Linked DNA regions of Lonchura striata. The protein of the gene in region 1 interacts with the protein of each later gene in a biochemical or structural test. Links are inferred from orthologs where the notes say so. Each region holds a gene or a part of one and is shown on either strand. Other genes may lie near its edges.

What was found.
Region 2: the proteins of PLXND1 (region 1) and SEMA4A form a complex in vitro, tested with the Homo sapiens proteins (2 studies listed by IntAct, with this or other methods). The link is inferred for Lonchura striata from reciprocal best matches to the Homo sapiens genes PLXND1 and SEMA4A.

What each region holds. Positions count from the first base shown.
Region 1 is NC_134614.1:23,986,503-23,990,403, forward strand, and holds the start of PLXND1 (plexin-D1), read right to left. Parts: upstream 2,902-3,901; coding exon 1,558-2,901; intron 1-1,557. UniProt on the Homo sapiens protein: Cell surface receptor for SEMA4A and for class 3 semaphorins, such as SEMA3A, SEMA3C and SEMA3E. Plays an important role in cell-cell signaling, and in regulating the migration of a wide spectrum of cell types.
Region 2 is NC_134635.1:1,157,200-1,161,100, reverse strand, and holds the start of SEMA4A (semaphorin-4A), read left to right. Parts: upstream 1-1,380; 5' UTR 1,381-1,419; coding exon 1,420-1,456; intron 1,457-2,779; coding exon 2,780-2,917; intron 2,918-3,880; coding exon 3,881-3,901. UniProt on the Homo sapiens protein: Cell surface receptor for PLXNB1, PLXNB2, PLXNB3 and PLXND1 that plays an important role in cell-cell signaling. Regulates glutamatergic and GABAergic synapse development.

The DNA.
Region 1 (3,901 bases):
GCCATGGTTGCAAACACAGAGGGTTCCCTCTGACTCCCAATGGCTTGGCAGTGCTCAGTTATTTTAGCTCATTCCCCTGACCCTCATTTCCTGTTGCTCATCCCTTCAAGAACATAACATCCTCCTCAGCCTTTATGGTGACAACACACTCCTGGTCCCCCTCCCTGCCTACCCAGGTAGTACTTGGAAAGGTGCTACCAAGAACACACATTACAGTGGAACAGTGTGACAAGCTGGGACCAAAGATGGAGTGAAATCTCATCTTTGCGTAGTCTCCTTTGAGTCACTCATTAATTAGCTGTCTAAATACCTTACTAGATACAGCATTTGATACTTTCAACATCAGTAGACTGGTGTTAGTCATGATTATTTTCTTTACTGAACAGAAGTTAGAAAAAACTGTATCTCCACAGCAGTCCTGGAGTCCTGGGGAAGCTTAGGGGTGATGGGTACATCTGCCTCTGCGTTTCAGTTATGGCCAGGCTGTTTGTTCACCTCAAGTGCCTCCAGCAGCCCTAGCCCCGATGCTGCTGCTTGACCCGCCTTGGCAGAGAGCTCAATCCCACCCGGGGCTGAGGGGCTGCTCCGCAAGGATGCTGAGCATCAGCCACAGCCAACAAGAACTACGGGTGCCTTCACACCCTGTAAATAGGATTCCTGACTCCCAGTGAGTCCTCTGAGAGCCGTGACCATGCCAAGATGTCAGGACTGAGCTCCCAGTGTTTAACACACCCAGTCTTTGTGGAATTAGCTCCAACTACTAGATTTGCTGGCTGTCAGGCAGCTTGTACTTTGTCACCAGGGAAAAACTGTTCAACTTTGCTAGAGTAGGTCTATGAACCAAGTGCATTAAGAGTACATATTTTACCACAGAGTAGAGATGCCACACTAAACACTTCGGTTACCATGGGAAACCTTTCTCTCTTTGCCACTGGCATTGCACAGGGAAGCCCAAGCCCAAATGCTCGATCTCGCCTCTGAAATCAAACAGATGTTTTCACAATCTTTGATGGAGCTGAGCTGTGCACTCGTCCCAAAGGAAGGTAAAAATGCAGCGTTAAAGCAGCCCTTTTCCCCTCTCTTTTTTCCCAAGCATGATATATTTTTAGTGAAAAGGGAAACAGGCGACTGTGTCTCGCGCTAACATTTACGGCCACTCAGTAACAAATTGTGACAACAGCAAACTTCTGCCACGAACTCGGGGAGCCAAGGCTGCCTGTGTGCCGTCCCTGGCAGGGCTGTGCGCCGCGGGACGGGACATAGAGCTGGCGATGCCCACAGACATCCGGGCGCGCAGGGCACCCACGAGAAGTGGGGCACCGGCAACCAGGTTAGGAGAACGATGCTGTCCCCGAGCAGGGGAGAGGGTCTCCGGGGAGGGCAGCGGGGTATGAGGCTCAGCCGCCCGCCCGGGGGACGCGGGGGATGCGCTCCAGCTCGGGAGAGGTGGAGGCAGCAGCGGCCGCGGGACGGGACACGAGATGCGGCCGCTGTCCACCGCCGGCTACCGGCTCCCCGCGCCCCCTCGCCCCGGCAGGTGTCCGCCGCCCGCCGTACCTGTATATTTCTTTTCTCGCAGGCCGGGCCGGTGCCCTGCACCACGCTGTCCAGCACGGTAACCATGCCGGCGGCCGGGCTGACGAAGCAGGAGTTGCGGGCGGCCCGGATCGTCTCCTCGATCTCGGCGAAGCGGAAGACGCAGAGCGCGGACTGCGGCCGGCCCCGGCCGCCGCCGGCTCCGGCCCGCTCGAAGACGCCGAAGAGCAGCTCCTCGGGGGGCGGCGGGGCCAGGGCCGGGCCGTGAGGGGCAGCGGGGCTGCGCCAAGCCGCCCGCGCCGGGAAGACGGAGACGAGGCGGGTGAAGGCGTCGGCGGCGCCGCCGCAGCGCAGCCCCAGCTGGATGTAGGACTCGGTCAGCTTCTTGGTCTCGCCGCTGCCGTTGAGGGTGGCCTCGGCTGGCTCGCCCAGGCAGATGCGGGCCAGCAGGCTGTGCGCCGGGCTCTCCTTGTCGCCCGCGTTAGCCTCAGTGTTGAGCGCCAGGTAGGCGTACGGGCGGCGGGCGGGCGGCGCGGCCCCGTGCTGCAAGAAGGCGCGGACGAAGCTGAGCTTGTGCCGCGCCTTGTCGCCCTGCTTGATCTTGAGGATGTTGTCGTCGGAGGGGTTGATGTCGAAGGTGAAAAGCTTGGCCAGGTCGCCGCGGGCGTTGAGGGCACGGATAGCGATCTCGGGCGTGTTCTCGAAGCGGTGGTCCTCCAGGCTGCGGTTGCGGGGGAAGAAGGGGCTGCCGAAGCCGGTGTAGGTGGCGGCCACCAGCAGCCGCGCCCCGCCGCCACCGCCGCGGCGCAGCACCAGCCCCACGGTGGAGGCGTTGGGGTGGTTGGCCGCGACGTTCAGCATGCTAGGGAAGACAGCGACCGAGTCGCTCCCGCCCGGCGGGAAGCGCACGGCCACTGCCGAGATGTTTGCCATGCTGCGCAGCTGGCAGAGGCCCTGGTAGATGGAGCCGCAGACGACAAGGACGCCCTGCTCCGGGTCCGGCTGCAGGATCTTGTTGTAGTTGTTGGTGAGCACCCTGGGGTGCTCACAGGAGGCCTGCGGCAGCTGCGGTGCGTGGCACAGCGGGCTGTCCAGCACCGGCCCCACCGCCGCCTCCGCCTCCAGTGCCAGCTCGCCCCCCGACAGCTGGAACAGCCGGTTGACGGCCGCCAGGTAAACGCGGGAGCCGGGGCCGTCCAGCGCAAAGTTGTTGGTGAGGGTGGGCGAGAGGAACTTGCGCTGCACCTCCAGGCCGGCGGCTCGGCCGGGCAGGAGCAGCGGCAGCAGCGGCAGCAGCAGCGGCAGCAGCGCGGGGGGCCGCGGCTCGGCGCCTGCCGCCGGAGCCGGGAGCGGAGCCGGAGCCATCCCGCCGCCGCGCCGCACAGTGCATGTGCCCGTCGCCGGGCGCGGGAGGGGCGGGCGCGGGGCCGCTTCCTGCGGAGGCAGCGCCCGCCGCCGAGCGACGCCCGCGGGAAGTGGCGGCCGCGGCGGGGGGCGGCGGGGGGCGGCGGGGCGCGCGGCCGCGCCCCTTCCCTGCCCCCGCCCTCCGCCCGCCCCCGCGCCCGCCCCCGCGCCGGTACTCACCGCGTCCCGGTGCCGCGGGCCCGTCATGTGCGTGCGGTGAAGTTACCGGTGTCTCCCGCGCCGCCGGCTGGGCGGCACCGAGCGGCTCAGAGGGGCTTCGGACAGGGCGTCCCCCCGCCGCCTGAGGGGCTGCTCCGGGCTGTCCCCCTTCTCTGCTCTGCCTCCTTCGCGTTTTCGACCAGGACAGGCCGGGGGGGAAGGGGCGGGGGAAGAAGCACTTTTCCCAGCTGCGGAGCAGCGCGGCGAGCCGGAACAGCCCCTCCCGGAGCCCCCTCGCACCCCCCGCAGCCCACACATCCCCCCGCAATACCCGCTCTCTCGCTCCCCGGGGACCGGGCGGGGGACGAGGCCCCACCCCTGCAACGGCTCTGCCCGCACCACTCGTCAAAAGTACAGCTCGGACTGCGCGTCTCCTCTGCCCTCCAACGGGCGCCTCTTTAACAAAAAAAGACCCAAAGAAGTGATTTCCCAAATTATACACACTGGGATGATGTAGGGGACAGCCCTTGAACCACAGCCCCATCCCGTGGCATCGCTCCACCTGAGCGGGTTCACTCCTGCTGCCTTCCTCCCCGTCTGCGGGAATGTCATCTGGCTCCTCGTGGCGAGGAGACACGTCCGAGGCTGAGGAGCGCTCCTGGGCAAGGCTGTAAGGAGAGCCCGGGTCCAGCCCGGGATGGGGCAGACAGGCCGCGCATCCTGCAGCAGATATTTGCTTGCCCATGTATCTCATGTCCCTGCAGGCTTCATGAAACAGCCCTGAGCAATTAATTACCCAGCT
Region 2 (3,901 bases), on another chromosome or scaffold:
GATGCTGCTCCCGCCCGCCCGCCGCAGGTCGGTACCGCCGCTCCGCGACCGGGGCCGGGGGCGGCCGGGGGGCCCGAGGGGGTCGGGGGAGGCTCCGAGGGGGCGGCAGGTCGAGCGGGAAGGGGGACGTCGCCATAGTGGGGTTGGGCTTGGGGGACCCCCAGCGCTGATGCTGCCAGCCAGCAACAAAGAGGCTGAGGTGCCGGCCCTGGGGAGACCCCCGGGACCCCCCGGTACCCCCCGCACTCCCTGCCTTCACATTCCTCCCTTTCCCCTATCTCCTGGGCACCCCTCCACACCTCCTGCACCCCTCAGCTCCCTCCTGTGCATCCTCCTCTCTCTTACCTGCACCCCCCCCCGGCTCTCCCCACCCTTCCTATCGAACAACCCCATCGACACAATCGTCTCCCATTTCCTCTTGCGTACACCCCCCAGTTCCTCCCCTTCATCCTCCCATGCCTTCAGTGCAACCCCCCTCCTCCCTTGCCTCCCGTCTCCCACACACACACCCTGCTCTGGATCTCGGGGCTTCCCCCAGCCCCCCTTGGGTGCTGGGAGCATTCCTGCACCCCCCACACCACAGGGCTGCTCCTGGATGTGACGTGGGCAGGGGACTGGAGTCCAGCTGCAGAGAAGGACCAAACTCTTCTCTGCGGTGGGAAATTGAGGCACGGGGAATGTCTGAGCAGCTGGCAGATCAGTGCCACCAGCTCCACACTCCCCTGCTCACCTTGCAAGGGCTGGGCCTGGCTCCATCCTGTGGCAGGTGATGTGCTCTTTGCAGGGAGTGTGCGTGTTCATTGACAGCACAATATTCCCTGGCTTAGAGGGAATCCTCCAGGAGGAGACCCAAGCAGGAGCAACACCCATGAAGCCACAGCTGTGGTCAACCTGAAAGCACCAGGGAAACCTGACCCACCGCAGTGTTGAGACCCTCGGTGGGACTCCCTCCCATGTTCCAAATCTTATATAGGGAGGCTGTAAATTACATTCCCCCCACCATGTCCCCAGAGCACTGTGACCAGGGGACCCAAAAAAGAGGAGAGACCAGGCTGAGAAGGGATTCTGCCTTCCCACGCTGTCAGAGCAGCCGTGAGGCTGCTGTCACCTCACATCCTGTGTCAGCCCTGGCTCACGCTGGCGGTTTTCCTCAGCCCCACCACAGCCCCAGTCAAGCCTTCAGCCTCACCGAGGAGCCTCTGCTCCCGTTTCTATCCCGCCTCCCCCTCCGCGGCCTCGGTGGCTATGGCCCAGGGCAGAACAATGCGGCCGGTCCAAGGCTCCGTGCGGCCCCGTCCCCCAGGCAGCCCTTTGCCAAGTGGGAAATCCGGGGCAGAGTAACCTACTTTCTGTGCTCACAAGGAGCTTCTGTCCCAGCCAAGCAAGGTGGTGAGCACAGCGCTGCCCTCCCGGGGCTCCATGTCCCGCTGGGCTGCTCTGGGGATGGGAGAGGCAGGTAAGGAGGCCCCAGCAGGGTGGGATGCTCCTCAGCCTTGTCCAGAGGGATATTGGGGTACCTCAGGTATGGCTCTCATGTTGAGGAACTCCAGGGCTTTGGCTTTGGGGGGGTTTCTTGCCTACAGCCATCCCAGAGCAGCCTGGGGTTAAGGATGGACTCTCCAGGTAAATGGGTTCCTGGAACAGCTGCAGGAGCTTTGTGGGGGTGCCCCGTGGGGCTGTTTGTGGGGAGCCATGCTCTGCCCTGGGGGGCTGGTTTTTTGGGTGATGCCTGCCCCCCTGGGGCTGGTTTTGGGGATGATACTCAGGCCTGCCGTTGGCCCATAGAATCCACAGGAAAAATGCCATTGTGTCCCTCACCCCAAAGATTTCCCCAGCAAGCAAAGCCAGGCATCTGGGCACACCTTTGTCCCCCACGTCGCCCCTTGGAGGAGCAGAGCTCCCTGGTTCCCATGCCAGCTGCCTCCGCCAGGCTTCGCTGCTGTCCCTGCGGGGGTGCGAGGCAGGGGAGGCGGGCGCAGGCACCCACTGCCCCAACCTGCCGGGGCTCGTCCTCTTCCAGCAGGACTTTCAGGTTCCCGCAGTCCCGGCGGAGCCAGGCAGGGCTGGGCTGGGCCGGGCTGCAGCGAGCCCCGCACGAGCCGGGCTGGGAGCTCGGCAGCCCGGCCGCGGCTGCCGATCGGGACATGGGCCCACGGGAGACGCGTGGCCGCAGCCCCCGCGGCTCGGGCGCCTGCCTGGTGCCCGTGCTCCAGCGGGGGAGGTGAGCGGCCCGGTCCTCGCCCGCCAGAGAGGTAATGCCGCCCGCTGGGGACACGGTGGCCAGCAGCAAAGGGGCCTGGGGACCGTGAGGTTCTGCAGACGGGGCTCTTCCCCCAGGGCTGCTGGCATCAGCTGCAGAAAGAGCTGCAGGAAGGGGCTTCCCGTGCGTGTTCCCCCCATTTTGTGGACGCTCTGATAACTGGTGGAGCGAACAGAGGAATCCCTGGTGGGGATGGGCTCTGAGGCTCTTGGGCCAAAGCCTCTGCACACTGTGCCGAGGTCCCGTGCAGGAGCCCAGAGGGTGAGGGTGAAACAAGGGGAAACCTCTGACTGTGCCAGAGACTGTGGGCAGGAGCCCCGCAGGGCGAGGGGACATCTCTGAGTGCCGATGCAGCAGTGGGAAGTTCGTGCCCAAACTGGGGGGGTCAGTGGGGCTCGAGGTGCTGAGGGCCCCCCATCCCCCACCTCCTTGCCGGGTGCTGCTTCCCCGTCTCGTTTCCGCCGGGTGCAGTGACACGCAGCCCGGCAGCGTGTGCCCTCACCCTCGGCCTCTCCGCAGGGATGGTGGTGGGACCCTCCTGGGGCGCATCCCTGCCGCCCCCCGCCATGCCCGCCGCCCTCCGCCTGCTCTGCGGGGTGGTGGTGCCGGCTGCCCTGCTCTGCGCAGAGCCCCTGCCCCGCGTCACCTTCCCCAGCGGTGAGTACGGCCCCGGGAAGGGCTGGGACAGCGCGGGAGGGGGGTACACAGCCTCTGCTGGGAGGGCGGCCATCCCCAGGGCTGAGCATCCGGCAGCAGGAACCTTGGCGTGCTCCCCATCATATCCCCAGCCCGCCCCATCACTGACCCTCCCGTGGGGCTGGAGACAGCGCCAGTGCCCGCGGGGGATGTGATGGGGGACGAGAGTAGATGAGGCTGCTTGGCACCCCAGCACCCAATGGGCCAGATCCTACAGTGATTTTGTCACCCTGCTGGCACCCAGGGTCTGCTCACGGTCACCCTGGGGGGACGAAAAGCTGCCTCTGGAAGGGACAGGGCACGGCATGTCCAGCTGGAAGGCAAAGCAGGAGATTGGAGGGGCTGTGATGTGGCAATCAGGCTGCAAGAGGGTCTGTGTGCCATGGCAGGGTCAAGCCTTTCCAGCCCTGACTGCACTGTCACTTCCTTTTCCCCACGCAGCTGTGCCCAAAATTGCAAAAACCCTCTGGTTTTGGTGTTTGCTGGGGATGAATGAGAACCTGCAGTCCCTGGCTGTGCCTGAGGGCACCCTGGGGGCTGGTGATGCCCCCCAGCCTGGCACCCTGGGGCTTGAAATCCCTCCAAGGTGGCACCCTGGGGCAGTGCATCCCCCAAACAGAGCACTACCCTTGGCCATGGTACCAAAGCATCACAGGCACAGCTTGGGGGGGAAATGTCCCCCATTTCTGGAGGTCTGCAGCTTGGGGATGCTCAGCTCTTGCAGTAGGAGCTGGAGGGGACAGTGGGAGGGGGGAACCTGGAGGGTGAAGGGGTGATGGTGATGTGGGTGCTGAAGGGGAAGAACTGCACCCCATTTCCTGTGTGGGATGAGCCTCAATGGCAGCTGCTGCCACATCCGCACGCCAATGATGGTGGTGGGGTGTGTGTGACCCCCGGCCTCCCTCACCCCTCTGCTCCTGCCAGGGGACCCCCGGCGGACCCTCA